7 linked regions of the Macaca fascicularis genome follow. The protein of the gene in region 1 interacts with the protein of each later gene in a pairwise test. Links are inferred from orthologs where the notes say so. Each region holds a gene or a part of one and is shown on either strand. Other genes may lie near its edges.

Region 1 (4,006 bases):
GGATCTTCCTGTGCCTGGGGCCTAGGGAGGCGCCTGGGGCGGCCGAGGGGCGGCTGCGGGCACTGCTGAGCCAACTGAGGATCCGGGCTGAGGTGCAGGAGGTGGTGTGGGGCGAGGGGGCTGGGGCTGGGGAACCCGAGGTGGAGGAGGAAGGGGACTTTGTGAACAGTGGGCGGGGAGATGTGGAGGCAGAGGCCCTGGCACGCAGCGCCAACGCCCTGGTTCGGGCCCAGCAGGGGCGTGGCACAGGAGGAGGGCCGGGTGGGCCGGAGGGTGGGGATACCGAGGGCCCCACCACAGCCCTCACCTTCCTGTACTTGCCTCGGCCACCCGCCGATCCTGCCCGCTACCCCCGATACCTGGCGCTACTGGAGATTCTAACCCGAGACCTGGGCCCCACGCTGCTGGTTCATGGGGTCACCCCAGTCACCTGCACTGATCTCTGATGCCCCTGCCTCCAGGGCTGGGTAGAGAGGGCCCAGGCAGGTGGCCCATCCCGATCCTGAGGAGGAGGAGGAGGAAAGCACTGTGTCCCGTGGCCCTGCCCTTGGGACGTGGAGCCCAGGGGAGGTTTGAAGGGGATCATGCCACCTCCTTTGGCAGAGGGACTCCAGCACACTAACTCTGGGCGCCTGTCCCCACCATGCAGGGGAGGGAGTCCGCAGCCTCCCTTCACTGGTGCCTTGATGCTAGGGGCCAGGCCTCCGTGACTCTGGGCTACCTCAGTTTCCCCATTTTGGCCAGACTCACCGGCCCACTGGGGTGGTGATGTTTTTGTTCTGTTTTATTTTTCTAACTCTGCTGACCATGAATAAAAGACCAAAACACTACAGGCTGGCTGAGCAGTGCTGGTGGGTAGCTGAGAGGGAGCGGGTGGGAAGGGAGAGCTCTGCAGAGGGGTGGAGATCGGAGCCTTCAGCCTCCCGCAGTGAGGCTGCCACGTGCAGGGCTGGGGCGCGGGGCCTGGACGCATCCGTGGACTTGGAGGCTGGCCCGGGCCTGCACCTCCCATCCCCAGCTGCCCGCAGCCCCCAGTGACTTGGGCTCCCCGGGAGAGTCCTCCCCTCTCGGCAGGAGGGGGCCGACTCGGGGAGAAATGGCAGTTTAGGGCCTCGGGGGCCACGTGACCCTCCCCCAGGAATGTGGTGACGTCATCGGGGGCGTGGTCGTCCCCAAAATTAGGGAGGAAGAGGAAAAAAAAAGACAGAAAAAGTTTTCTTTTCTGGAGTCCCAAACGAGGTGCGGGACGGAAGAGGGGTTGAAGGCCAGAGGCCCGAGGCTTCAAGACCGCTGTCTGGAGTACCCCCGTTCCAGGCCATGTCGGGGCCCACCTGGCTGCCCCCGAAGCAGCCGGAGCCCGCCAGAGCCCCTCAGGGGAGGGCGATCCCACGAGGCACCCCGGGGCCTCCACCGGCCCATGGAGCAGGTAAGGCAGCCCTTGTGAGACAGAAGAGCTACCCGGCTGTGGCGCTCACCTCTGTCCTCCAGCTCCAGCCTCCCGCCCTGCCTGCTTCCTCTTACCCCTTCCCCAAGCCGGGGGGAACAGCCGCCTGCGCTCTCTTGGGACCCTAGATTTGGGGGAGGAGGTAAGGAGGGGCAAAGAGGGCAGCTCCCCAAATGCACACCCCTCCTGTCCTCCGCCACCCCACCTTTGATCTCTCTTCCCTCAACCCAGCACTCCAGCCCCACCCCAGGGTCAATTTTTGCCCCCTCCCATCTGAGCAGTGTTACCAGGCCCCAGGGGGACCGGAGGATCGGGGGCCGGCCTGGGTGGGGTCCCACGGAGTACTCCAGCGCACGCAGGTGAGAACTGGGATTGCGGGGTGGGATGTGCGGCGTCCCTAGAACCGAGTCTGGGGGACCCAGGACAGGAGAAGGCCTATGGTGATTTGCATTCTTCCCTGCTCTGGCTTCATCCTCAGGGGCTCCCTGCAGACAGGGGGGGCCTTCGCCCCGGAAGCCTGGATGCCGAGATAGACTTGTTGAGCAGCACGCTGGCCGAGCTGAATGGGGGTCGGGGTCATGTGCCACGGCGACCAGAGCGACAGGTGACTCTGCCCCTCCTCCCCATCGGCACCCTGTCCCCTTCTCTGGACTCTCAGACCCAGCCCGACCCCCCGATGTATGTGATGTGCACCTCAGCATGGAGGAAGCACGGCTGCAAGTACCAACATGTCAGCCACTTGAGGACGGGACCTTGCCAAATGCAAAAGCCTGTGCTTCCCCACACCCAGGGTCATTTCCACAAATGTGGGTCCTGGAGTGGGGGCCTTGCTTACGGCTTCTGGCCTGCGTTTCTCCTTAGGCATACGAGCCCCTGCCACCTCCTGCCTACCGCACGGGCTCCCTGAAGCCGAACCCAGCCTCGCCGCTCCCAGCGTCTCCCTATGGGGGCCCCACTCCAGCCTCCTATGCTACTGCCAGCACCCCAGCTGGTCCGGCCTTCCCCGTACAAGTGAAGGTGGCACAGCCAGTGAGGGGCTGTGGCCCACCCAGGCGGGGAGCCTCTCAGGCCTCTGGGCCCCTCCCGGGTCCCCACTTTCCTCTCCCAGGCCGAGGTGAAGTCTGGGGGCCTGGCTATAGAAGCCAGAGAGAGCCAGGGCCAGGGGCCAAAGAGGAAGCTGCTGGGGTCTCTGGCCCTGCAGGAGGAGGAAGAGGAGGCGAGCACGGGCCCCAGGTAAGCCCTGGGGACCTGGGATTTCAGGTCCTACAGGCAATGGGACACTGATTGGGTGGGATGGCTGGTGGTGTTTTAGGGGGCTGGTTTTTTTTTTGAGACAGAGTTTTGCTCTTGTTTGCCCAGGCTGGGGTGCAGTGGTGCCATCTTGGCTCACTGCAACCTCTGGCTCCCGGGTTCCAGTGATTCTCCTGCCTCAGCCTCCCGAGTAGCTGGGATTACAGGCATGCGCTGCCACGCTCGGCTAATTTTTGTATTTTTAGTAGAGATGGGGTGAGCCACCACGCCTGGCTAAGGGGCTGGTTTTGGAGCAGAGTCAGAGGTCTGGGATGTGGAACAGGTAAGGGCGGGGCCGTGGTATGGGGGAGCAGGATAGAACTGCTCACTGGGGCCAGGTACAGTGGCTCACACCTGTAATCCCAGCACTTTGGGAGGCTGAGGCGGGTGGATCACCTGAGGTCGCGAGTTTGAGACCAGCCTGACAAACATGGAGAAACCTTGTCTCTACTAAAAATACAAAATTAGCCAGGCATGGTGGGGCGTGCCTGTAATCCCAGCTACTCGGGAGGTTGAGGCAGGAGAATCGCTTGAACCTGGGAGGTGGAGGTTGCGGTGAGCCGAGATCGCACCATTGCACTCCAGCCTGGGCAACAAGAGCAAAACTCCGTTTCAAAAAAAAAAAAAAAGAACTGCCCACGGGCCCCTGGGCTGAGATGTTCTCAGATGAGCTTTCTAGCTGGAATTGCCTGGCCACCTTCAGGGACATTACAGCAGTCCCCAGTCTTTTTGGCACCAGGGACCAGTTTTGGGGAAGACAATTTTTCCATGGACTGGGGAGGGCGATGGGAGGGGGATAGTTTCGGGATGATTCAAGCACATTACATTCATTGTGCACTTTATTTCTGTTATAATAATAGAACATACAATATATATAATTGTTTCATTATATATTACAATGTAATATATAACAACGTAATATATAACAACGTAACATATAACGAAACAATTATACAACTCATCATCATGTAGGATCAGTGGGAGCCCTGAACTTGTTTTCCTGCAACTAGACAGTCCCATCTGGGGGTGATGGGAGACAGTGACAGATCATCAGGCATTAGATTCTCATAAGGAGCTCACAAGCTACATCCCTCGAACGCACAGTTCACAATAGCGTTCACACTCTTATGAGAGTCTAATGCCCTGCTGATCTGAGAGGAGGCGGAGCTGAGGTGATAATGCAAGTGATGGGGAGTGGCTGTAAATACAGATGAAGCTTTGCCCATTGCTCACCTCCTGCTGTGCAGCCCGGTTCCTAACAGGCCATGGCCT
Region 2 (4,291 bases), on another chromosome or scaffold:
CAGTATTATGTGGGAAGTCTCAACTATTAACAAAATATATAAAACCGCTATCCTACATTGAATCCCCAAATCTTCTAACATCTTGTTTTTTGTTTGTTTGTTTGTTTTTGTTTTGTTTGAGACTGAGTCTCGCTCTGTCACCGAGGTTGGAGTGCAGTGGGTGCGATCTTGGCTCACTGCCACCTTGGCTTCCCAGGTTCAGGCGATTCTCCTGCCTCAGCCTCCCGAGTAGCTGGGATCACAGGCGAGTAGCTGGGATCACAGGCGTGTGCCACCACGCCCGGCTAATTTTTTAATGGCCAGGCTGGTCTCGAAATCCTGACCTCAGGTGATCCAACTACCTTGGCCTCCCAAAGTGTTGGGATTACAGGCATGAGTCACCGCGCCCGGCCAATTCCCCTAACATCTTGTAGCCTCGGAGTCAAAGACCTTACTGGTTTTGATAGATACCATCACCACAACAGTCATCAATAAGCACATGAGTATACTAGATCAGGGCTGAGTTATAAAAATTTACCCAAGGAGGTGGTCCCCTAAAAGTCGATTTTTTCTTTCCCCCTGACAGGTCCATCAATAAAGTATCAAGAGATTATCGGCAATATTACAAATCACTGAAGTCTGTGTGGGGTTTTCTAGAAGCTGAGCCAATTATTTACTTAATTGTCTAACGATTAACGACACCCCTTCTGCTTTCTGGGCCTGCGTTTCGTAATCGATGACCTGAGAGGTATAAAGTAATTTCAAAAAAAAAAAAAAAACACAAAAAACGAAAAACAACAAACCACCCCTCGGAACAGAGGCTTATCATGTGAGCACCCAGACAAGCCAGCTTCAAAATGAGGTGAAAACTACAGTTCCTCTTCCGTTTATCAGAGTTCTAACTGGGACCACCGTGAACCACATCTACTGCCCGAGGGGCAGGGACGGCTGCTTCAGTCCCCGGGCTTCCCGTTCGGTCCCTTCGCACCGCATCTCCCTGAGGCCGCTACTCCCGCCGCGCCCGCCCAGGGAACTGCCCCGCCAGCGTCGTACCCGCAGGTTGGCTCGGAGACCCAGACTCTTGGCTAAGTTCTGCAGGTCACTGTACTTGAGGGAGTCCAGCTCCTCTAGGGAGGGGATGATCATCGCGATTCAAAATCCCGGCGATACTCAGAAGATGGATCACCAAGTCTCGTAAGCGAGGTTCAAATCCCTGGCGCCACTCTTAACTTTGACTAAGCTGAAATTTATAGACAGTTTAAATGAAGAATGCCGCGCTTCCATTGGTTGAAAATGCCTCAAAGGCGGGGTTTCTAACCCTGACCAATAGAAAGGCTGATTTCCCGTCCCAACAGTCGCGCGCTTTTCTCACACTTCACGAATACGCAGGCGCCGAAGGGCCTGTAAGACCGGTTCAGGTAACGAGTGCGCGGACTGGGACTCCAGTGCTTGGATTGCCCACGATGTCCAATGAGGACGCAGGAGCTGTGCTTGGGGCGGGGCCTGGCGTGTATTCGAAACGACGGCGCCGGCTGAGAGAAGATGGCGTTTCAGCCGCGGCGGCATCGCTCCCCTTGTGCAACGCCGCCCCAGGGTGACTTTTGTGATGGCACTGAGAGGGCGATTGACGAAGCATCTTTTACGACCTCCATGGAGTGGGATACACAGGTGGTGAAGGGGTCCTCGCCGCTCGGCCCCGCAGGGCTGGGGGCTGAGGAGCCGGCCGCCGTCTCGCAGCTGCCGTCTTGGCTGCAGCCTGAGAGGTGCGCTGTTTTCCAGTGCGCACAATGCCACGCCGTGCTCGCCGACTCGGTGCACCTCGCCTGGGACCTGTCGCGGTCCCTTGGGGCCGTGGTCTTCTCCAGTGAGTGCAGTGAGGCGTTCGGGAAAGGCAGAGGCTAGCCCGAGAGGTTGTTCCCGCCTTCTCCACCTGGGGAAGAAAACGGAATGAAAATTTGGAAGCACATAACTCCTTGGCCTGGGGATGGGGCAGGGAACTGGGGAGTCTCCTGACATTTATGGCGGGGATGAGTCTGTCTAGAGGAGAGATTTTCCATTTCAAGGCCCGCAGAGTATGAGTTCTGACCCGTGTTTGTGTTCCTAGGAGTTACAAATAACGTCGTTTTGGAAGCGCCCTTCCTAGTTGGCATTGAAGGTTCACTCAAAGGCAGGTACGTATTGATAATTACAGATTGGTCTCTAGTCCCTGACTTTATGAGACTGAGGAGCGTGGAACTGACATGTACTTGTTGAGCAAGTCTGTTGACAGCATTTCCTTTTTTTTTGTTGGTTTGATTTTTTTCTTTTTGAGATGGAGCCTCACTCTGTTGCCCAGGCTGGAGTGCGGTGGCGCGATCTGGGCTCACTGCAAGCTCTGCCTCCCAGGTTCACACCATTCTGCCTCAGCCTCCCGAGTAGCTGGGAAGGCATGTGAAGTCATGCCAAATTGTGAATATGAAGAAAAAAATGGGGCCGGGCGCGGTGGCTCACGCTTGTAATCCCAGCACTTTGGGAGGCTGAGGTGGGTGGATCACATGAGGTCAGGAGTTCAAGACCAACCTGACCAACATGGTGAACCCCCATCTCTACTAAAAATACAAAATTAGCCGGGCATGGTGGCACACACCTGTAATTCCAGCTCTTTGGGAGGCTGAGGCAGGAGAATCACTTGAACCCGGGAGGCAGAGGTTGCAGTGCACTGAGAACACACCATTGCACTCCAGCTTGGGCAGCAAGAGCAAAACTCCATCAAACAAACAAATACATGGAAATTAAAAGTGCTACTCCAGTTATAAGCTGATATGGAGGAAGTTTGAGTGGTATGAGTAGAAGATCAAACCAGCCACAGCATTCCTTTAAACCAAAGCCTAATCCAGAACAAGGCCCTAACTCTCTTCAATTCTGTGAAGGCTGAGAGGTGAGGAAGCTGCAGAAGTTTGAAAGTAGCAAATGTTGGCTAGGTGCAATGGCTCATGCCTGTAGCCCCAGCACTTTGGGAGGCCGAGGTGGGTGGATTGCTTGAACCCAGGAGTTTGAGACCAGCCTGGGCAACATGGTGAAATGCTGTCTCTACAAAATACAAAACAATTTAGCCGGATGTGGTGGTGCACACCTATAGTCCCAGCTGCTTGGGAGGCTGAGAAGGAAGGCTGGCTTGAGCCATAGAGGTCGAGGCTACAGTGGAGCTGTGATTGTGCCACCACACTCCAGCCGGGGTGACAGAGCAAGACTATCTAAAAAAAAAAAACAGAGGTTGGTTCTTGAGATTTAAGGAAAGAAACCTTCTCTATAACAAAAGTCCAAAGTGAAACAGCAAGTACTGATGCAGAAGCTGCAGAAAATGAAAGTGGGTACACTAAACAACAGATTTTCAGTGCAGATGAAACAGCCTTCTATTGGAAGAAGATGCCATCTCAGACTTTCATAGGTAGAAAGGAGAAGTATTACCTGGCTTGAAAGGAGCTGGTCACAGTGACTCACACGTGTAATCCCAGCACTTTGGGAGACCAAGGTGGGAGGATTGCTTGAGCATAGGAGTTCAAGACCAGCCTGGGCAACATAGCAAGAACCGATCTCTACAAAACATTTAAAAATTAGATGGGCATTATAGTGTGCACCTGTGGTCCAGCTAATTGGAAGGCTGAGGTGGGAGGATCACTTGAGTCTGGGATGTCAAGGCTGTAGTGAGCTGTGATGGTACCACTGTACTCCATCCAAAAAAAAGAAAAAAAAAAGCTTCAAAGGACAGGCTTTCTCTCTTGTTAGGGGCCAATGCAGCTGATGACTTTAAGTTGAAGTCAATGCTCATTTACTGTTACTATCTATAGCTACTATAGATAGTTATTCCTCTGATGGATATGGGCAAAGTAAATTGAAAACCTTCTGGAAACCCAGCTAAATTTTGTATTTTTAGTAGAGACGGAGTTTCACCATGTTGCCCAGGCTGTTCTCAAACTCCTGGTCTCAGGTGATCTGCCCGCCTCCCAAAATGCTCAGATTATAAGCGTGAGCCATTGCGCCCGGCCCAGTAAATTAATTTCCACTGACACATTTGTTTATAAGTACTGTGCTTTGTCTGAACTAATTAATTCCTACGTGGAATTTCAAATTAATGACACTTTATTTCACAGTTTGCTTTTTGGTTACCTATATTCACAAGATTACTATATGTGTGGTGTGGGACTTCATTTACCAATAAACCTAATATATTTTGTTATTTGTTCTTTTTTAGTATCCATTGACATGAATATTTCTTTTTAGCTATGTGTTTTTTGTTTTTTTTTTTTCTTTTTTAAGACGGAGTTTTGCTCTT
Region 3 (4,101 bases), about 54 Mb from region 1:
CTGAAAGGAACAGTAGGTTCTGTGAATTCTCCTAAAATCAGGAGGGATGTTAAGGCCCACCAGAAAATGTGTGCTGGCACCCAATCTGGATTAAGGTGTTAACCCGGCACCAAGTCTCTGGTCCAGAATTATCTGCAAACATATTATCCTGGCCAGGAGCTCCCCAGATAGGATCAGAAAGGAAGAGACTGTAAATGGAAAGAAAGATAAGCTAAGCATGTGCTTTGGGTAAGAAGTCCCAGCCCAAGGAGATGCCTGGGCTGTGGTCTGGGACTGGAGCCGCCTTAGTGTGAGGTAGTCAGAGTGTCTGAGGTAGAAGACCCCGGGGAAGGAACGCAGGGCGAAGAGCTGGACTTCTCTGAGGATTCCTCAGCCTTCTCGTCGTTTCCTGGCGGGGTGGCTGGAGAGATGGGCAAGAGACCCTCCTTCTCACGTTTCTTTTGCTTCATTCGGCGGTTCTGGAACCAGATCTTCACTTGGGTCTCGTTAAGCTGCAGGGATGCAGCGATCTCCACCCTGCGGGCACGCGTCAGGTACTTGTTGAAGTGGAACTCCTTCTCCAGCTCCGTGAGCTGCTTGGTAGTGAAGTTGGTGCGCACCGCGTTGGGTTGACCCAGGTAGCCATACTCTCCAACTTTCCCTGGGGCAAAGTGGGAAGCCATGAGATGGAAAGGTAAAAATTTTTAAACCGACTTGAGATTACCTACACACTTCATGGCAACACTCAGGTAAAGAAAAGATCAAGAACTCAACACAAATCGGGCTGTGGAGGGTGAGTGATGAGGTGTAAAGTGTTAACCTGAAGTCAACCATTAGCGTGGTCAGATCGGTGATTAATGGAGCCTTAAGATATTAACAGAACACTACCGTCACAATAACCACCCCCACACACTTCCTACTTCCCAAATGTATAAAATCCTTGAGAACACGCCAATCCCTGAGGCTTCTTTGCCCCAACACCTCTGGGTACCCTCTCCATGCACTACAACACTAGTCTTAAAGCCTTTAAAAAAAAAGATAATTATTAATTTTCCTTGGAAATTAAGCATACCAGCTCCTTCCAGATTAATCAAGGAGCATCCACCAACCAGCAGGACTGACCTGTTTTGGGAGGGTTTCTTTTGACTTTCATCCAGTCAAAAGTCTGCGCTGGAGAAGATGTCTCCGATGCAGGGGAGCGACAGGCTTCTTGGTGGCTGGCGTGGAGAGGGGACAAGGAGTTATTATACGTAGCCAGGGCCAGGCTCTGGTGCTCTTGTCCATATGAGTGGTGAATGTACTGAGGCGAGCCCACCGCGCCCCCGGCATAACGCTGGTGGTGGTGGTGATGCTGTACCATGGGAGATGAGAGATTTCCAGAGTAAACAGCGGGAGCGCACTGGGGGTACCCACCACTTACGTCTGCTTCCTGGTTTAACGCGTAGGGGCTGTAAGGCGCACTGAAGTTCTGTGAGCCATAGCTTGGACCACAACTCGAGTGGGAGTAGGACACCCCCAGGTTCCCGGAAGTCTGGTAGGTAGCCGGCGGGGGGTGGTGATGGTGGTGGTGGTGGTGGTGGTGAGGCGAACCGATCTGCACCCCCCTGCCCACTAGGAAGCGGTCGTCGCCGCCGCAGCTGTTGGTACTGACCGCGCACGACTGGAAAGTTGTAATCCCATGGTCCGAGGGGTAGGCTTGGGCTGAGCAGGTCCCCGAGTCGCCACTGCTAAGGATGGGGTATTCCAGGAAGGAGTTCATTCTTGCATTGTCCATCTGTCACTGAGTGACCTGGTCCTGCGAAGCCCTGGGTGACCGTGCCAACTTTCTCACTTCCTCCATGGGGCCTGAGAAGAAAAATGATATGAATGTACAGTGCGCAAGAGGGGGGGGGCGGGAGGGCGGAGGACGCTAGGGGAGGGGCACGTGACGGTGTCAGCCAATGGCTGAGCCTCCTGCAAAAGTTTGCCGGCTTCCGCGGTGATGGATCACCGTTTCAGTGGCATTTAAATCCCCGGCGCTCCGCCGTCTAGGTGACGTGCAGTCGCCCCCCCAGGCAGCCCAGGCGGCGGCAGCTGCTGCGGCGACTGCAACGGCCGATTTGGAGTGCTGGAGCGAAGAAGAGCAAAGGCTGCCTTCTGCGCGCGCCCGACTCCGCTGCCCGCCCCGCCAGGCCTCCGGGAGGTGGGGGCTGAGAGGCGTCCCCCGCTCCCGCCCCCTCCCCACTGTGCACTGAAAGATGAACTGGCGAGAGGTGAGAAGGGAAGAGGGCTCCCGGCTCTCTCGGGGCGCGAGTTAGTGGGCCGGAGTTCGCCGGGTGGCCGCAGGTTCGCGGGCCCAGCCCGGAGCGCACCCAACCGGAAGGCGGGGAATCCGGCTGACACCGAGCCCCGGGTTCCCAGGCCGCCTTCTCTGCTCTGAGGCTGGGCTGGGAGACCATGGGGCTGTGAGGAGCGCACAGAACCGTGGCAGGGGGCGAGGCTGGGCCACCGGCTCTCCAAGCGCGGAATGGAGAGGGAAGAGCGCAGAGGGCTGGCTGGGAGGAACTCGGGTGGGGGTGAAGGAGACGAGGGCAAGAAAAGAAACTTCCCTTCTTCCAGGAGAGTCTCCGAAACCCTCTCCCCACAGCCCCCGCTCTTCATTAGCATGGCAATGAGGAGTTTCTGTAATTCGACCGGGGAAGGGGGGGTGCGGAAGAGCCCTGGAAACAGGGATTGCCGGAAAAGGCCGGGGGCGACCGGGCTCTTCTTCCCCACCCTCCCTCTCTCCTCGCTCTCCGCCGTTTCTTTCCCACTCAGTTTTGCAGCGGGAGCCCTCCGGGATGCGGAGCTACTCGACCGCCGGATTTTTAGGGGTAGGAGGCGGGGGAGAGAGATGACGCTGGCGGACGTGGCCAGCGTGGGGGCCGGGCCGTGCGCTGCAGGCCATCTGCCGGCGCCCGAGACCCAGGAGCCTCCGCTCCCGCGTGGGCCTCGCAGGGCCGGTCCACAGCTCCAACAAAGTAGCTGAACTCCCTTCGTTGCGTTCCTCTTTTTCTGGAGGGGAATGTTAGAAGAGAGAGAGAGCTTCCTTTTGTAACCTTCCTCATTCTGCTGCGCGTCTAGAGTGGGTGCGGGGACTGGCAGGTGGGAGGAGCGGTGGACAGATGGCTGATGGTGGACAGAACACTTTACCCCAACGACACCTCCTCCCCTTTCCAACTGGCTGGGTAGTTGCTTATGAGAACCTTCAAGTCTTTCCTTAGAGGGACACGTGAAAATCTGAGCGTCATCCCAGGCCAAGGGTCCTGTTCCCCATCACCCTCCTTCTACCCTGACGCTGCTGAGGTCGTTAATTGTTGTTTACTATTAGGTTTCACGTCAACCCTGGGCTTGTAGAGAGGAAAAAGCCAAACGGAGACCAATAATTGATGCAGTCTTGGGTAGGAGAAATCGAGAGCTCGTCCAGGAAGCTTTGCAGCCAATGCTGTATAAATTTTACTCCAACCATGTGTACAATGTTGGAATCAGATGGAATTTATAGTGAGGAATGTATGTGGGTTTGGGGTTTCCACTCCCCTTCAGCCTTTCCTCCCCTGTTAGAACAAGGAAGGTTTTTTTTTCAAGGCAGGCACATTTCAAATATGTTAGTCACCCTTTCAGTCTTCTGTATTCTGTTCTCCACCTACTGAAGCTCCCCCAAACCTGTCCCCTCAAGAGGGAAAACCCATGCTGACTCTGGACTCCCTCAGTAACAATGAAACATTCTCCCCAAACATTTCCTTTCAGGTTGGTATTTCTCTGTGACTTTGATCCATTCCAAGCATGGTTAAGAGGGAGCAGGGGCAGGAAAGAGCCGCTTCCTGGGGTTGGGCAGCCACCCCTGCCCCAGTTTCGGCTCCTGGGAATCATCCTTCTGGAGAAGGGGAAAGGCAAGGCGGTCCTCCTGGAGGTGGCTTCCTTGGGAGCGCCAGCTTCCAGCGGCAGGGAGAGAAAGAGCTCCTGTGGGGGAGTGGGCAGGATGTGAGGAGGTCGGTGCTGGCTATGAGAGCAATCCTTCCTCCAAGCCTGAGCAAGTCAGTACATTTTCCCCCGCTGCCTCATTCCTGTACCTTGGTTGCCCTCCTCAGCCTGGGTTTGCAGGAC
Region 4 (3,990 bases), on another chromosome or scaffold:
GTTGGCCAACATGGCAAAACCCCCATCTCTACTAAAAATACAAAAAAAAAATATTAGCTGGGCGTGGTGGCAGGCGCCTGTAATCCCACCTACTTACGAGGCTGAGGCAGGAGAATCACTTGAACCCAGGAGGTGGAGGTTGCAGTGAGTCGAGATCACAGCATTGCACTCCAGCCTAGGCAATGGAGCGAGACTCTGTCTCAAAAAAAAAAAATAAAAAAAAGTACTATGAAAAAAGATAGGGCAGAAATATTGGGAGTATGGAGATGGAGTAGAGTGCTGCAATCGTAAATGGAGTAGATAGGCCTCTCTGAGAAAGTAACCCTACAAGTGTATGAGAACAAACTATCCCAGAGAGAAGGAACAACCAGGCCAAACGCTCTAATTTCCCATGTTTAAGGCACAATGAAGCCTGTATAGGTGGAGTGGAATGCGCAGAGGAAAGCAGTAGAAGTCAGACTGGTAAAGGAGGCAGATCATAAAGTGCATTGTAGACCATTGTAATCCCCTACCTGTGGAGTGCTTTGTAGAGAGTATGAGATATGGCAGGGTGCAGTAGCTCACACCTGTAATCTCAGCACTTTGGGAGGCCAAGGAAGAGAGGATCACTTGAGCCCAGGAGTTTGAAACCAACCTGGGCACCACTGTGAGACCTCATCTCTACAAATAATTAAAGAATTAGTGGCTGGGTGAGGTGGCTCACATCTGTAACCCCAGCATTTTGGGAGGCTGAGGTGGGCGGATCACTTGAGGTCAAGAGTTCAAGACCAGCCTGGCCAATATGGTGAAACCCCATCTCTACTGAAAATACAAAAATCAGCTGGATGTGATGGCTCATGCCTGTAATCTTCGCTACTAAGGAGGCTGAGGCAGAAGAACTGCTTGGTCCTAGGTGGCAGAGGTTGCAGTGAGTTGAGATCGTGCCACTGCACTACAGCCTGGGCCGTCTCAAAAAAGAACAACAACAACAAAAAAAAGAATTAGTTGGACATGCTGGCACACACCTGTGGTCCCAGCTATGTGGGAGGCTGAGGTGGGAAAGATAGCTGGAGCCCAGGAGATTGAGGCTGTAGTGAGCTATGATTGTGCCACTGCACTCTAGCCTGGGTGACAGAGTGAGAGACTCTATCTCAAAAAAAAAAAAAAAAAAAGAAAAAGAAAAAAAGGAGAATATGAGATACTAACGAGGAGGCTACTGTGATAATCCAGGTGAGAGATTGTGGTGGCTTCAACAGGATGGTGTTCCAAAGCGGTGAAAAGTGGTCTGATTTTGAATATACTTTGAAGGCAGAGTCATCAGAATTTTCTTACAGATCAGATGTGGGGAGGGAGAGACAGAGAGGAGATGGGGCGGGGGAGAGAGGGAGAGAGGGGGAGAGAGAAATACAGGAGTCTAAAGTTTGTCTTGAGCAAATGAAAGAATACGCTACTGACGGGGAAGACAATGGTGAGAGAAGCAGGTTTGGAGAGGTCAAGATTTCTGTTTTGTACATGTTAAATTTGAGCTGTCAGATTTTAAATTGGAGTTGCCAAATAGGCAGTTGAATATAAGAATATGGATTTCATGGAAGAGGTCAGGGCTAGACTATAAAGTTAGGAGTAGTCACCCAAGAGATGGTATTTAAACCACGAAACTTGCCAGCACCAGAGAATATTTGAAGAGGTCAGAGGACTGAGGATAAGAGGTTGCAATAAGAGTCAGTCAAGGATACTGAGAAGTGAGGTGGCAGTAAAACAGGAGTGTTGATGTCTTAAAACCCAAGTAAGGATACTGTGGCCAGGAGGCCACTATTCAATTGCGTCAAATATTGCTTTAGATGAGATCTGGAAAACGGATGAAGCATCTCAGAGGTCAACACTCCCTCCCTAGCGAGAAAATATCAAACGTCTTTCATCTCTCTCCCTCTTTGGCTGCTAAACAATGTGTTTTCTGCTCATAACACTTCCCATTCGTTTTTCAGTTCTCAACTTAAAAGGTCCTGCTGCAATCGGAGAAGCTTCTCAAGACCAATGCTATTGTTACCAGGGAAGCGACACTTTATCATAGAAAAATATTATTCTAAGAGTCTACTTAATTGACTCTCTACTGGGCTTGACTGTAAGGTCCTTAAGTCAGACGTGCCTATGTTGTTTACTTCTGTACCCAAACATTCGATAGAACTCCGAGCATAGTACAAAGCTCGTAGTGGGTATCCCATATATATTTACAAAACCAATGGATAAATGCTAGGGTGGAGCGAGCGATTACTGTTGGCCTAACTTAGGGGATGTGTAGAAGGGAGTGCCTAAAACTAGGAGTGGACGCGGAGGGCTCTGAACAGGGTTCAGTCTCCCATTCCATTACTTTTGCAAGTGTAATACGGACCCTTTGTTGACTCGAAGCAATTCCCCTGCCAGACACTTTTTAGCTGTCCACCCCGCCCCACTACTGGCCACTGTCTTCCTCGGATCTCATCCCAGACACTCACCCAGCCGCGTGGTGCGTTCCCGCGACGCCGCGGGCTTGTCCCCAGTCCCATGCTCGGCCTCGAGCTCCTCCTGTTGCTGCCGTGCTTGCTGCAAAATCCGCCGGCTCAGCCGGGGTCCCACATACTCTTCCTCCGTTTCTCCGGTCCTGCGACCCCGCCGCTTCTCCCGGACCCCTGCCCGCACCGCATTCCCAGCCAGGATCTGATCGGCCAGGGGCGCATGTTTTTCCTGACCCCCGACCCCACGGGCCGCCTTCAATTTGGGCATTTTTCTCGAAAACGTTGCCGCGGAGGTTCGCACGTGGAGACGGCGAAAAAGCCAGATTGCGCTTGCGCGGTGGACTCCCGGCTCTCAAGAGGCCACGCGGCGATCACAGCGCCCCCTAGCATTCGGAGGCCAGAAGCGCCATCAGCGCCGCCCCTCCCACTAAAAGAGCTCCCGGGTTCCGGTGCTGGACTCCCCAATATATTTACAGCCTTTAACGTTAGCTTCTCTCAACAGTGCAGTCTTTGAGTGTCGCTCTTAGCTTCATGGGTCTAGGCCTAGAGTGCTCAGCCAAACGAGAATGTCTGGATTTAGAAACCTGTGGGCGGGAATCCGCAGATGATGTCACTAGAGGTGTCACCGAGGGGCCCTGAGACCCGCCCCACTCCTTGGGGAAGGCGTGGACCCGGCGCTCTGTTTTTACGTATTTCCGGAGTCTCTTCCGAGACCGAAGGTTGTGTTGGGGAACTGAAGCAGTTTCTGTGGGCGGATAGGGAACCCTGCGTTTCTACCGTGTGATCCGGCCGCCTTCCTGGCCCGACGCCATGGGAGTGACTTGGTAGGACTGCAGGGGGTTTTGTAGGGCGGAGCTTGGAGTTGTGAAGGGCCGAAAAGAGGACCTTGACCGTGGTCCGCCGTCCCCTGGGAGCTGTCCTCGGGTTGTGTGGATGAGAGGATGCCGTGCGAGCCGCGGGTTCCCCGGCCTTGTTTCCTCGGAGATGCGCCCCTTCCTCTTGGAAGGCGGGAAAGCAAAGCGAAGTTTTTTTTTTTTTTTTTTTTTTTTCTTTAAGACGGAGTCTCGCTCTGTCGCCAGGCTGGAGTGCAGTGGTGCGATCTTGGCTCACTGCACCCTCCGCCTCTTGGGTTCAAGCGATTCTCCTGCCTCAGCCTTCCGAGTAGCTGGGACTACAGGCGCCCACCACCACGCCCGGCTATTTTTTGTATTTTTAGTAGAAATGGGATTTCACCATATTGGCCAGGCTGGTGTCGACAAAGCAAAGTTTTTTGTTTTTTTTTTTGTTTGTTTGTTTGTTTTTGAGACGGAGTCTCGCTCTGTCACCCAGGCTGGAGTGCAGTGGCCGGATCTCAGCTCACTGCAAGCTCCGCCTCCCGGGTTCACGCCATTCTCCTGCCTCAGCCTCCCGAGTAGCTGGGACTACAGGCGCCTGCCACCTCGCCCGGGTAAGTTTTTTGTATTTTTAGTAGAGACGGGGTTTCACCGTGTTAGCCAGGATGGTCTCGATCTCCTGACCTCGT
Region 5 (4,192 bases), on another chromosome or scaffold:
CACCAAGTGACCAAAACAGACAGTAGTTCTGCCCTTCATGTTGCTGGTGGTGGTGTGGGGTGCTTATAGGTTTTTCTAGTCTTCCTTCACAGGTGGAAACAAGAACGGTGAGACCTGTGAGGTTTATTTCAGCGCTACTCCCGGGCCTGGTATGCCTCCCAGGGAAGCTGGGGTGGGGGTGCAGCTGCCCCTCACCTGGGCCCACCCCACATGCATTCAGTCAGGGCCCCTACAGAGCAACGTTAGAGCCTTTAGACACAGGATCGAGGATCTTCACAGGGGTGAGGAGACACGCCCGGCCCATCCCTTCTTTCTCCCGCCGGCCTACAAGGATCTTTTTCTACGAAACTCTAACCAGGTCCCTCGTCAGCTGAAAATCCTTCGGTGGCTCCCCAGTGCCTTTGAGGCAAAGTCCAACCTCCTACGAGGCCCTGGGGCACAGCACATCTGACCCCTCCGGGCCTGCCCACCCCACGCCATCCCTGAGAGCTGCTCTCTAGGAGTTACTCTGAAGCAGTTGCCACTTCTTCCCTCGGGCCTTTTCCCTTGATAATTCTTCACTTCCTCTGGGAAGTCACCCCGACCCCCTGTCAGGTGACCCGCCTCTTAACGGTCGCTGCGTCCCGTCTCTCCCCCGCCAAAGCACACTTCCCTTTGCATTGTAATTGTCTGTTTACTTCGTCTGTCTCCCCCACTGGACCGGGAGCTACCCTTCGGGAGAGGCCTTGAATGTCCTGTCCGGGGCTGTGCCCTGCCCCAGGTACAGCTGGGCCCTCCGCAAACACTGGCTAAGGGAAGGAACGGGCGCTCTTCGCTAGCTGGGCCAGGCTGCTTTGCAAAACGGCCGTAGCATTTCACGCCGCCAGGAGCCACGTGCGGTGTCCGTTTCCTCGCTTCCTCCCCAGCAATGTGCATTTCCCTCGTCAATGCCACGCTCTCCAGGCGCCAGCCGGGCGGAGGAAATTTCCGCCCCCTCCTAAGCCCGAGGCGGGGGCGGGCGTCGGAAGGTCAGGTGTCCCGGCCCGCGCGCAGCGCCAGGGGGCGTCAGAAGCGCTCCGACCACGGGGCGCTGAGCAGGTGGGCGCGCGGCGTTCTGGCGGGGTCCCACCTCGCAGGGGCCTCGCTTCGCTCGACGTCCCGCCCCGGACAGTCCGAGCACCACGGACGACCCGCGCTGCGCCTGCGAACTCCGCCTCGGAGGAGCCCCCGCCCGGGCTCCCAGCGCCACGCGGCGCGAGCCCGGCCAGCCCCCGGCGCACCTGCTCGGGGAGTGGCCTTCGGCGGAGACGGGCCTCCGATTGGCGCGGAGGTGACAAAGGGGCGTGGCAGATGAGGCCCCTCCCCTCCCACCCCCTTGGAGTATTTAAGGGAGTTGGCGGCGCGGCTGCTCTCATTGCGCCGCGGTCCGGCCTTGTGAGTGGTACGTTTGCGCTGCTCCTGCGCGACTCGGCGACCCCAGTGCCTCGGCCACCATGCCGCGCTCTTTCCTCGTCAGAAAGCCCTCCGACCCCAATCGGAAGCCTAACTACAGCGAGCTGCAGGACTCTAATCCAGGTGTGTTGGAGGGGTGGTGGGCTCCAGGAGGTTTGGGGGAGACAGGCGAAGGCTGCGTGGGGGCCACCTGAGGGAGGCGGCCTGTCTGAGCCAGGATCGAGTCACAGGGTGTTTTGTGGAGCATTGCGGGCTCGGGCTCGGGCTCGGGAGACCGGGCAGGTGGGTCCCCAGTCCTGGGGATCGGTCTGGGTGGTTGGGGGAGTGCTGTGTAGAGAGCAGGGGTTTTGTGCTTGGGTGGCCTGTGTAGCCGGCGAGAGGCGGAGGAGCTCCGCGAGAGTGGGAGAGGAGGCCTGTGTCAGGAAGGCCCTCTGGACGCTGCTGGGGAGAGTCCGGAGTCCAGAGGGTTGAGGGGAGGGGTGGGGAGACGAGATGTGTGTGAGGAGGGGGATTGGGGCAGGGTGGTGGCTCCAGGGCTGGGGTGATGGGGTTCTGGCCTCAGGCTGGGGACTTGGGACTTAGGAGAGGGAGATCTGGAAATGACCCCCTTCAACTGGGGGTCCTACCTGTGAGAGACTCAGATTGGGTGACCTGGGCCAGGAGGGCAGGAACCTGGTCTGTCCTGTGGATCATTTTTTTGATCTAATTATGTGTTGAGAATCAGCCCTACCCAGCCCCTGGCCAGCGGTGGGTTCATGTTTGTTGATTGAGTGAATGATTTAATTAACGCCTGACTCTGCTTTTTCTCTCTCAGAGTTTACCTTCCAGCAGCCCTACGACCAGGCCCACCTGCTGGCAGCCATCCCACCTCCAGAGATCCTCAATCCCACCGCCTCGCTGCCAATGCTCATCTGGGACTCTGTCCTGGCGCCCCAAGCCCAGCCAATTGCCTGGGCCTCCCTTCGGCCCCAGGAGAGTCCCAGGGCGGCAGAGCTGACCTCCCTGTCGGACGAGGACAGTGGGAAAGGCTCCCAGCCTCCCAGCCCACCCTCACCGGCTACTTCGTCCTTCTCCTCTACTTCAGCCTCTTCCTTGGAGGCTGAGGCCTATGCTGCCTTCCCAGGCTTGGGCCAAGTGCCCAAGCAGCTGGCCCAGCTCTCTGAGGCCAAGGATCTCCAGTCTCGAAAGGCCTTCAACTGCAAATACTGCAACAAGGAATACCTCAGCCTGGGTGCCCTCAAGATGCACATCCGAAGCCACACGCTGCCCTGCGTCTGCGGAACCTGCGGGAAGGCCTTCTCCAGGCCCTGGCTGCTACAAGGCCATGTCCGGACCCACACTGGTAAGTGCCCCTCCAGGCGCCCCCACCGTTGCTTTCTGTGGCAGCTTTGTGAATTGGGACTTGCTGTTCTCATTCGCAAAGTTGTGGACACTGAGGCCCCGAGTCTCCTAACTTCTAGCTCAAGTTCAGGGGCCTGCTCTCTGGAAATGTTTGGCAGAAACGTTCCTTCATCAGCTAAGCAGATGAGCAAAGCAGACACCTTCCCAATCCCTGCAGCCTGTTTCTCAGCCAAATGGGCTGGAGCTGGATATCGGAAAAGTGCAACCAACACCTTGCTCTGGGGGCCACAGGTGTGAAGGGGCCCACCCAGCCCCACCCTCTCCCGGTCCGCCCCCTCCCTAGCCAGACAGGATGTTGTCAGACCCCCCACCTGGCTCTGAATCCTTTGAGAACTTTCTCAAAGCTTAGGCTGATGTTTCACTTCTGTGAGCCTCATTTTCTCTATCTTTCAGATGGGCATGAGAACAGCTTGTGGGGTTTCTGTACGGGCTAAATGCAGGAATGCATATGGGAATCACCTGGCAAAGTGCCGGGTACCTGCTAAACTGTCACAAAAATGGTTCCTTGGCATTTGCTCTGCTTCCCTGCTGTGTGACTTTGGGCAAGCAACTTAACCTCTCTGAGACTCGGGAGAATTATGATGGCATATGTTTTAGAGAGTGGCTGTAGGCCGGGCGCAGTGGCTCAAGCCTGTAATCCCAGCACTTTGGGAGGCCGAGACGGGCGGATCACAAGGTCAGGAGATCGAGACCAGCCTGGCTAACATGGTGAAACCCCGTCTCTACTAAAAAAAATACAAAAAACTAGCCGGGTGAGGTGGCAGGCGCCTGTAGTCCCAGCTACTCGGGAGGCTGAGGCAGGAGAATGGCGTAGACCCGGGAGGCGGAGCTGAGATGCGGCCACTGCACTCCAGCCTGGGCGACAGAGCGAGACTCCGTCTCAAAAAAAAAAAAAAAAAAAGAGAGTGGCTGTAAAGGTGGCTAATCACTTTATAGTAATTTATTATACCCGAATAGTTCTCAGGTCGGCTTCCCCACCCCCACTCAATCCTAGCACACACACCAGAAAACAGCAATTTTAGGGCAGAAAACACAATCACGTCTTTCGAAAATTTACTAAATATGTAGAAAACTTTCTGGACATGGAGAAAAGGTAGAACTTTTTAGAACTTGAACGGTGGCAGCCACTGTGCCTGGAGCTGCTCTTTGGAGAGGGACAGTTGAGGGAGAAGATTCCACAGGGTTCAAGCTGGCCAGGTTCTACCATTCCTGGCCCGGCGCCTGACCTCTGAGCAGTGAGGGTCAGTGAGGTATCTGGGAGGACTGGCATTTCGCGGGCTTTATTGGCATCTTATTCGACTAAGGCTACCCATTTCTTTTCCTTCCTGCACCAGTAGCCCTGATTTTAACATGTAAAGGT
Region 6 (4,167 bases), about 54 Mb from region 1:
TCCGGTGCAAAAACAATATTCAAGCTTGTCTGATTATGTATATTTTCTTTAATTATATAGATTATATATACAATAGACAAGACAGAACTACAGATCATGGAAAGACGAAAATGCCCGCATTTTTAATGTGGAGAAAACGATGAATCTATGCATCCCCGAGAACACTTAAAAAAATTTTTTTTATTTCACTGGGAAATCCTTACAGCTAGTTTACAATCATAGGTTAACAGCCTAGTTATACAGAAGACATATTCCACTACAGAGCTATACTCTATGCAACTGTTTTTTCCCCTCATAAACAACCTGAGTTCAAATTGAATTCTATCTTCCACAATCACAACGGGTGCATCACCCAGTACACAGAAGTTTGAGTCACAAAACATAATTACCACAATAAAACACAGTGTTCAAGTATCTTGGCAGAGCGATCTGCCGCACAAACAGCAAATTAAATTAACTACACAGACTAAAAACTATACAGCCTACCATCAACAGTTGTGCATTATAAAAAGGTAGTTTCTTTCCTTTTCTTTTAAGTCAGGAACAGGTAGATTTTTAAAAATATATATACAAGGTAGCACACACATCTATCAGCACTAATGCCCCCCCTACTTTTTTTTTTCTTATAGAAAATGGAAAGCTTACAATACCTCCTCCATCAAAGCGGCAGGCCTACGAGCCATCCTGAACAGGGTTTGCCTTGGGGGAGATGTGGCCTGAGGTTTAGAGCCGCTTTGTGCGGGGATGGTGGAGGCTAGGGTGGGGGTGAGAGAAGAAAGAAGGCGGAAGGGGGACGGGCAGTTCTCTTTCTCTCTAGCTCACCCTTTTTTCTAAATAAACCCAAATGGCATCACTCGTCTTTTGCTCGGTCTTTGTTGATTTTCTTCATTTTCATCCTGCGGTTCTGGAACCAGATCTTGACCTGCCTCTCGGTGAGGTTGAGCAGTCGGGCCACCTCGTACCTGCGGTCCCTGGTGAGGTACATGTTGAACAGAAACTCTTTCTCCAGTTCCAGGGTCTGGTGTTTTGTATAGGGGCAGCGCTTTTTCCGAGTGGAGCGCGCATGAAGCCAGTTGGCCGCTGGGTTATCTGTGGAGAAGAGAAACACTGGGTTTAGGAGGAGGATACGCACACCCTGCTGGGGGCAAAGGAACCTCCTGGGTGGGGTCTCTGGCCGAAGTGCAGAACTCTGCTGAATTGGTTAGGAAAGGCAGTCAGGCCTCGGACACAATGGAACCCTGGCAAACAGAAGCACAGAGGGTCACTTACAATTGCACGCAGTAAAACTTCGGCTCCCCCTCCCCTCCGAGACCCTCCTTTCTCATCCTCCGTCCTCTTGTCCCCCTTCTCCTTCCTCCCACTCCCCGAACGCTGTATAGAATGAAATTTGGAAACAGATCTCCTTGCCACGCAGACGGAAAGCATGCTGCCTTGTGTCCTGTAGCAAGATTAGGATTCCTCTGTCCCGTTCACTGACTCGTCTTTCCTTCCCAACCTTTCCCTCTACGCTCTCACCCCCTACTCCTTATTTGACCTTCCTGGAAGGCCTTCGGAGCTGGGCATGCCGTCAGGGCGCCCCAAGGCCGTTGATCACGTCTGTGGCTTATTTGAATAATCTGGCATGGGGACCCTTGTGGCCCGGGTCGCTCGCGCCTTATCTTGGCAGGATTTACGCCGCCACTGGCCGAAGGCAAGAAGTGGAAGGAAATCGGCCGTCTCCCCCAGCGTCCCGGCTCCGGCTGCCCTGGCTGCCGCCGTTCACGGACAATCTAGTTGCACAAAAGGCTCTCTGGGCTGCATTGCTTTCGAAGAACGGCCCAAAGTATCTCGGTCCTAGGCCCGGGCAGCCAGGGAGAGGGGCGGCCAGTCTTGGCTCAGCCCGAAGTGCCCGCCCCGCCCCCTGTCGCTGCAGCAGCAGCCTCCTCTCCCGTAGCCCTGCGGGCCACTCTTCACGGCTCTCCGGTCTTGGGGCCCTATCTGAGGCGTCCCAAACACCAAATTCTGGCTCCTGGCCCCAACTTGAGAGGCTCCTAGCGAGGACGAAGGCACGCTCGAGAGAAAGCTGGCGGGCCAGCAGATCCGGGAGGCCGGCATGGAGGCGGTGGTGGCGGCTGATTTGAAGGGAGGAGACACTTACTGGGATCGATGGGGGGCTTGTCTCCGCCGCTCTCATTCTCAGCATTGTTTTCGGAGAAGGCGCCTTCGCTGGGTTGTTTTTCTCTATCAACTGGAGGAGAACCACAAGCATAGTCAGTCAGGGACAAAGTGTGAGTGTCAAGCGTGGGACAGTCACCCCTTCTGGCCGACAGTGGTTCAGGTTTAATGCCATAAGGCCGGCTGGAGGGCAAGCCCGCGAAGGAGAGCGCACCGGGCGTGGGCTCCAGCCAGGAGCGCATGTACCTGCCGTCCGGCGCCGCCGCCGCCACGGGCGCCTGGGGGTGCACGTAGGGGTGGTGGTGATGGTGGTGGTACACCGCAGCGGGTACAGCGTTGGCGCCCGCCGCGTGCACCGGGTTCCACGAGGCGCCGAATACTGCCGCCTTGGACTGGAAGCTGCACGGGCTGAAGTCAGGGTGCTCAGCCAGCGTCGCCGCCTGCCGGGGGGGCTGGCCCAGGGTCCCCGGCGCATAGCGGCCAGCGCTCAGCTCATCGGCGGCGTCAGCGCCCAGCAGGAAAGAGTCCACGTAGTAGTTGCCCAGGGCCCCAGTGGTGGCCATCGCCGTGCCCAGCGCCTGGCCGGCCCGGCCCGACCCACGGAAATTATGAAACTGCAGATTTCATGTAACAACTTGGTGGCACCAGGGGGGGAAGTACAGTCACCTAATAAGTTGCCGGCGCCTGCGCCCCCATTGGCCGTGCGCGTCACGTGCCCGCCCAGCAGAACAATAACGCGTAAATCACTCCGCACGCTATTAATGGCCCAGTGTTTTGCAGTCATAATTTTTATAGCAAAAGCCATATGTTTTTATGTAAAGGGATCGTGCCGCTCTACGATCGGGTTTGTTTTAATTGTGGCCAACGAAGATTAAAAGATCAAATCTAGCCTTGCCTCTGTACTCCCCCTTCCCCCCCATACACACACTTCTTAAGCGGACTATTTTATATCACAATTAATCACGCCATCAGGGAGGCGCGGGTCCCGCGTGCGAGTGCGGCCAGCGGAGCCCCTCACATAAAATTAGACAATAATTGAAGCCATAAAAAAGCAGCCAAATCGCATTCTCGCTCTACTGTATTTAAATCTATATTTATGATATTTCATAAGGAGTTATTGTTTCAGAAGCCACACAGGCTGGCGGGAAGTCGGGAACGACCAACAGATTCGTTTGCCTCGCCCTGGCTCCCAGCAGTAAAAATTTACGAGGACTTGGAAAGGTTAGACTGTTGTGTTTGGTTGGCGAGCTCCCTGTAAATAATCCCTGCGGTCCCCGGGAGAGGCGAGTTTACCCCCGGCCGCCTGCGAAAAGTCAAATTCAACGCAGGATCCGTCCCAAACGGAGCAGCCGCCGGCCCTACCAGGGCACTCCAGGCAGGGACTGGCCGCTCAGGAAGTACCGCGGGTGTAGGTCCCCACGGCTACCCGCCTGGAGCGAGGGGCGCAAGAGCAGTCCTTAAATTCGCCTTTGTTGCGAGGACCCCACTGAGGAGCTGGCCAGGAGGGAGCGGCCAGTCGCCCCCAGGGCGAAGGGTTTGAGGGCCTGGTTGGTTGTGTGGGGCGCTCGGCCCCCGGCCGTCGACCCCACGCAAACGCGCACCCAGCCCGCCCTTCTCATCAGCTGGAAATCAGGATTCCCAGGCGCAGGCGGCTGGCGACCCAGCCCTGTGTTCCAGCCTCAGAGGCTCTAACCCTGAGTGCTGCAAGCCTAGTTGAGCTCCCTGAACCCCAACTGGGGAAAAAACTCCAAGTGGCATCAACGGAAGGAGAGTTCGGCTTGGGGAAAGGCAGCCTCGCCTGAGACCCCGCGGCTCCGGCGGCTGGGAGGTCCGCACCGATGTGGCCTGTCCCGGGGCCGTGTGAGCCTTTCAGGGCTCCTTTCCCCCTTTCCAGCTAGTACTCCGGGCCTCGCCTTGGTTACCTACGGACCTGGCGACTCGGCGGAGAGGTACAAGGCCCAAAGAGAGGCAACCACAGCTCAAGGCCAGGGCTGGAAATTAGAACGGGGAGGG
Region 7 (4,290 bases), on another chromosome or scaffold:
CAGAGCCCGTCACTGTGGAGGGAGCAGAAAAGCCTGGGTCACCAGGAAGAGGAAAGGGCAGCTCCCAGGCCCTCCCGCACCCAGACAAGGCCCAGCTGATGGCTGGGGCACCCAGTCGCCTCTGCCCTGGGGACCACCCACCCACCTAGCGTGGAGGCCGCGTCTTCCTCTCGCCCGCTGCTACCTGAAGAGGGAACAGAGCTGCAAATTCAAGAGAGAGAAATCGGACCCTGGCTTCTGGCGGCTTGCCCTCCCTCCAGGTGTGTGGGCCACTTATGTGGACACTGGAATGTGCTAGGAAGACAGGGCCCAAGCTGGGACTGCTGCCCCGCCTTACCCTGACACAGACTCTGGGGACGTCGTAGGGGCGGATTCCTCTGATGGGCTCTTGTCCTCTCTGGCGGCAGGTTGGGGATGGGACATGCCTGAGGTGGGGGCAGGCGGGAAGGATGTAGAGGACTCTGGGGCAGCTGTAGGTGAGGCCTCTGGGGGTGCTGAGGTACCCTGGCCGGCTTTGGTCTGCAACAGCAAGAAAAAGGGAGCTGGCATCAGCAACCCTATCAGACCCAACAACCCGCTCCGCTGTGGCCCCGCCCTGTTCATGGCTAATCTCTCCTGGGCACACAGGCTCTTTGCCAGCTCCCCTGCTCGTCCCTCCCAGCCAGCACACGTCACCCACCTTGGTCACCATGACGACCACAAAGTTCTTCTCATCGATGCGATAGTCCCTGATAGGGACATCATCGCTCAAGATCTTGCCGGCATAGATGAGTTTCTGTCCAGCCACGGGGAAAGCATCACGACCCTTCTCAGCTTCTATCTTCTCCTTTAGCACCTTCACCTAGAAGAAGTAGTACAGACAGTCACTGGAGACCCCAAGATTCTCTCTTCTAGTTTAGGACGGAGAAGCTGCAAGCCCTGATGGCAGAGAGGCAAGCATGCTGGAATTTTTAAGCTTTCTCAGCATCTAAAGCATGCTAGATAAGAATTCATTCAATCATCATGCCATTCAACACAGTATTTATTTATACTAAACACCTATTACGTGCCAGGTGCTGTTTTAGACATGGAGGCCACAGCACAGAACATAACACAAGTCCCTGCTCTCAATGAGAGAACACTAATGTGAAGAAAATGTTAATTTCAGGTGGCATAAAGTATGATAACAGAATAAAGGGGACAGTCCCCCACTCTACACTGTATCTTGGACAATAACAGTGACTAATAGTTCACAGTGATATTTCTTTTTTAAAAGACAGGATCTCACTGTTGCCCACACTGGATTGAAGTGGCACGACCACAGCTCACTGTAGCCTCAAACTCCTGGGCTCAAGTGGTACTCTCACCCAGCCTCGGGAGTAGCTAGGACTAAAGGTGCACACCACCACACCAGGCTAATTTTAAAAAAATTTATTTTTGTAGATAAGAGTCTCCTTATGTTAGGCTGGCTGGTCTCAAACTTCTGGCCTCAAGCAATCCTCCTGCCTACGCCTCCCAAATCATTAGGATTACAGAGGCATGAGGCACCATGCCTGGCCAATAGTGCTACTGTAAGTGTGTATGTGGCATACCTTTTAAGCCTCCTATGAAATACATTTAATTGACCTCCTTTTATTTATTTTTGTTTCTTCTTTTTGTAGAGAATGGGGTCTCACTGTGTTGCCAGGATGATCTTGAATTCCCAGGCTCAAGCGCTCCTCTTGCCTCTGCCTCCCTAAGTGCTGGGATTACAGGCGGAAGCCAGCAGGCGACAGGTTCATTTGATATTTTGAGAAAACGGAGGCACAGAGAGGTTAACTTGCCCAAAGCCAAACCGTTGAGCTGATCAAAAAATGTGTGTTTCCTTTTCTACAAAAAGTGGACTTCAATGTCTCCCTCACTGTGCAAAAAGTGCCAAGTACCCAATAGTCATTATGTTTGAATTAGGTCCTAATTCTATTTTTGACTAAAAAGGCAGCATAATATTTATATAGTGGACGCTCACACGAGGCAGAACCGAATGTGAATCCCAGCTCTGACATTACATGTGTGACTGTGACAAAGTTCCTTAACCCCAAGGTTTCCACATCTGTAAAATGGTCAGAGGTCCTCAATGACAAGCCCGTTCTGCAGAGCAGTAAAACAACACTAAAACACTCGATGACTGATAAAAAATAAACGCCCAACAAACACGGACCACCAAAATTATAAAGACTGAGATCCCTTTATTATCATTAACATCGTTGTTGTCGTCACTACTCGTTATCTCCTGGTCATTACTCCTAGATTCCACCACCAGTGTCCCCAGGAGAAGCCTGCAAAGCTGAGAACGTGGAGCCCAGTCCTGGAGAGCTTGGCCTGCCCAGGCCTCCGAGCCTGTGACTCCCGCGCCCCGCGAGAGCGCTGACATTGGAGCCGGGACCTGGCCAGAGGCCCGGGGGTGGGGCCTCGCCCGGAGACCGGCCCAGGAGCGCCGCCCGATCCGCTGGGGACTGGGCTAAAGACCATCGGGGGGTCCAGGAAAGTCGGGCAGGTCGGGGGTCTGGACAGGGCCGACCCGCGCCGTCCTCCCTGCCCCTCCCGTTGGGATCCTAGTCTCCCCGCCCCCACCCCATCCCCGGCACCCGTCACTCCCGCCCCCGGGCTCTGGCCTGGCCCGCACCGTCTCGTCAGGCTCCATGCGGATCTTGAAGGTCTGCTGCTGCAGCGTTTTCAGCGTGATGGTGACGGCCATGGCGGGGCCCGAGCGACGCGGCGGCCCCTGGATCCTCACACAACATGCAACTCACGCCGCCGCCATCTTAGCTCCCAGGCGCGCCGCGCCGCGCGCCGACCACTTCCGGGGCAGGCGATGCGCGCGCTGACCACCGGCGCACGTGACCTGTGCGCACCCTCCTTGGCCTTTATGGGCATGCGCACGAGCGCGGTGTCGAGCGAGGCATGCGCAGACTAAACTCCGCGTTGTGGGCGTGGGCGGGGACGGGGCTTCTCATTCTGCCAGCACACGAGATCTCCAAAGTGACGCCATGCCCGTTAGCGGTGACGTCACGGGAGTGCAATGGCGCGATCTCGGCTCACTGCAACCTCTGCCTCCCGGGTTCCTGCAGTTCTCCTGCCTCAGCCTCCCGAGTAGCTGGGATTACAGGGAACCCCCACCATGCCCTGATAATTTTTGCATTCTTAATAGAGTCAGGGTTTCACCATGTTGGCCAGGCTGGTTTCCACCTCCTGACCTCAGGTGATCCGCCCGCCTCGGCCTGGCAAAGTGCTGGGATTACAGGCACGAGCCACTGCACCTGGCCCCGAGTTTTATTCTGGCAGATAGGGCAAAGTGGAAGTTACTCAAGACTAGAAATACCTGAAAGGCCACCAAGCAGAGGAAAAAAACCTTACATTGGTAGCAGGGGCAAGGTGCCATTTTGTAGCCTCATTCATTCTTTAGGGATCCGGATTTTTGGAATGAACCTACTATTTTAATTCCTGGGTCTCCCGCCAGGAGTACTTTGTTGTACTATCCCCAATCTGACCCCAAAAGTATTTAAAGATGTTAACTTTCAAAGCCTCACGACATTAAAAACAGAATTCTCCCTTGGATCTGCCAGTCCTAGAGGCATCCCAGAGGGGTTGGGCTGAGCCACAGGACCCCAAAGGAATAGAAGCATGAAGAAGGCCAGTTTAAGAGGCAGGGTAAACCAGATTAAGCCATTGTAGGCCAGCCTGGGTAACAGAGCAACAGTCTATCTTAAAAATAAAACCAATAAACAGAACCAAAACTTACCAGTTAGGTTCAAGGATTCAGTAAATTAATATGTGGAGTATTTACGGCAGCAACAGTCATTCCCCCGTTGGTTTTGAGGGTTATGGGGTAAATACGGGTCCCTGGAATCTTGTGGAACAGTCAGTAACCTCTCTAGCAACAGCTGAAAAAGGAGATATACTGGAAACCCTCCCCACCCCCAAAAAGACCACTGCTGGGTTTCCTGAAGTCTGTCTTTCCCCAAAAGGAGACACAGGAGGGAGACACAAAACTTAATTTAATAGAAATTTTGTTTGTAGTTCTTACATTCTCAGTGTGAGCCAATCTGGGACCCACTGCCCCACCCAGAAATGGCCCAGTCCTGGGGGCAGGGGAGAAAGGGCGGGGTGAAATGAGAAGAGCCCCATTCTTCCTCAGTGCTGGGGGATTAGAGACACCACCCCCTTCTCCTGCCCCCCTCTGGGCTCCAGGAAGGAGAGCAGATGAAATTTCAGGCCTGCAGCTTCTCCACACCACTGCCCCCCAGGTTGGAGGGGAGCTAAGAGATATGGTGA

What was found.
Region 2: the proteins of TRIP6 (region 1) and OIP5 interact in binary tests that used the Homo sapiens proteins (3 or more experiments, as listed by UniProt). The two-hybrid records come from large-scale screens. The link is inferred for Macaca fascicularis from reciprocal best matches to the Homo sapiens genes TRIP6 and OIP5.
Region 3: the proteins of TRIP6 (region 1) and HOXA1 interact in a two-hybrid assay, tested with the Homo sapiens proteins (2 studies listed by BioGRID and IntAct). The two-hybrid records come from large-scale screens. The link is inferred for Macaca fascicularis from reciprocal best matches to the Homo sapiens genes TRIP6 and HOXA1.
Region 4: the proteins of TRIP6 (region 1) and BYSL interact in binary tests that used the Homo sapiens proteins (3 or more experiments, as listed by UniProt). The two-hybrid records come from large-scale screens. The link is inferred for Macaca fascicularis from reciprocal best matches to the Homo sapiens genes TRIP6 and BYSL.
Region 5: the proteins of TRIP6 (region 1) and SNAI1 interact in binary tests that used the Homo sapiens proteins (3 or more experiments, as listed by UniProt). The two-hybrid records come from large-scale screens. The link is inferred for Macaca fascicularis from reciprocal best matches to the Homo sapiens genes TRIP6 and SNAI1.
Region 6: the proteins of TRIP6 (region 1) and HOXA9 interact in binary tests that used the Homo sapiens proteins (3 or more experiments, as listed by UniProt). The two-hybrid records come from large-scale screens. The link is inferred for Macaca fascicularis from reciprocal best matches to the Homo sapiens genes TRIP6 and HOXA9.
Region 7: the proteins of TRIP6 (region 1) and RAD23A interact in binary tests that used the Homo sapiens proteins (3 or more experiments, as listed by UniProt). The two-hybrid records come from large-scale screens. The link is inferred for Macaca fascicularis from reciprocal best matches to the Homo sapiens genes TRIP6 and RAD23A.

What each region holds. Positions count from the first base shown.
Region 1 is NC_088377.1:49,460,017-49,464,022, forward strand, and holds the start of TRIP6 (thyroid receptor-interacting protein 6), read left to right. Parts: upstream 1-1,206; 5' UTR 1,207-1,317; coding exon 1,318-1,426; intron 1,427-1,675; coding exon 1,676-1,803; intron 1,804-1,922; coding exon 1,923-2,048; intron 2,049-2,305; coding exon 2,306-2,677; intron 2,678-4,006. Other genes in the region: SLC12A9 (solute carrier family 12 member 9), read left to right, coding at 1-446. UniProt on the Homo sapiens protein: Relays signals from the cell surface to the nucleus to weaken adherens junction and promote actin cytoskeleton reorganization and cell invasiveness. Involved in lysophosphatidic acid-induced cell adhesion and migration.
Region 2 is NC_088381.1:17,880,752-17,885,042, reverse strand, and holds the start of OIP5 (protein Mis18-beta), read left to right. Parts: upstream 1-1,491; 5' UTR 1,492-1,521; coding exon 1,522-1,843; intron 1,844-2,083; coding exon 2,084-2,150; intron 2,151-4,291. Other genes in the region: NUSAP1 (nucleolar and spindle-associated protein 1), read right to left, coding at 1,033-1,125. UniProt on the Homo sapiens protein: Required for recruitment of CENPA to centromeres and normal chromosome segregation during mitosis.
Region 3 is NC_088377.1:103,176,221-103,180,321, reverse strand, and holds the start of HOXA1 (homeobox protein Hox-A1), read right to left. Parts: upstream 2,801-4,101; 5' UTR 1,970-2,800; intron 1,848-1,969; exon of another isoform or gene 1,825-1,847; 5' UTR 1,754-1,824; coding exon 1,102-1,753; intron 641-1,101; coding exon 285-640; 3' UTR 1-284. UniProt on the Homo sapiens protein: Sequence-specific transcription factor. Regulates multiple developmental processes including brainstem, inner and outer ear, abducens nerve and cardiovascular development and morphogenesis as well as cognition and behavior.
Region 4 is NC_088378.1:129,646,089-129,650,078, forward strand, and holds the start of BYSL (bystin), read right to left. Parts: upstream 2,801-3,990; 5' UTR 2,737-2,800; coding exon 2,469-2,736; intron 1-2,468. Other genes in the region: MED20 (mediator of RNA polymerase II transcription subunit 20), read left to right, coding at 3,279-3,292. UniProt on the Homo sapiens protein: Required for processing of 20S pre-rRNA precursor and biogenesis of 40S ribosomal subunits. May be required for trophinin-dependent regulation of cell adhesion during implantation of human embryos.
Region 5 is NC_088384.1:106,067,382-106,071,573, forward strand, and holds the start of SNAI1 (zinc finger protein SNAI1), read left to right. Parts: upstream 1-1,392; 5' UTR 1,393-1,472; coding exon 1,473-1,554; intron 1,555-2,245; coding exon 2,246-2,773; intron 2,774-4,192. UniProt on the Homo sapiens protein: Involved in induction of the epithelial to mesenchymal transition (EMT), formation and maintenance of embryonic mesoderm, growth arrest, survival and cell migration.
Region 6 is NC_088377.1:103,107,515-103,111,681, reverse strand, and holds the start of HOXA9 (homeobox protein Hox-A9), read right to left. Parts: upstream 2,801-4,167; 5' UTR 2,718-2,800; coding exon 2,138-2,717; intron 1,090-2,137; coding exon 851-1,089; 3' UTR 1-850. UniProt on the Homo sapiens protein: Sequence-specific transcription factor which is part of a developmental regulatory system that provides cells with specific positional identities on the anterior-posterior axis.
Region 7 is NC_088393.1:13,343,611-13,347,900, reverse strand, and holds the start of RAD23A (UV excision repair protein RAD23 homolog A), read right to left. Parts: upstream 2,801-4,290; 5' UTR 2,714-2,800; coding exon 2,642-2,713; intron 842-2,641; coding exon 680-841; intron 520-679; coding exon 338-519; intron 202-337; coding exon 146-201; intron 13-145; coding exon 1-12. UniProt on the Homo sapiens protein: Multiubiquitin chain receptor involved in modulation of proteasomal degradation. Binds to 'Lys-48'-linked polyubiquitin chains in a length-dependent manner and with a lower affinity to 'Lys-63'-linked polyubiquitin chains.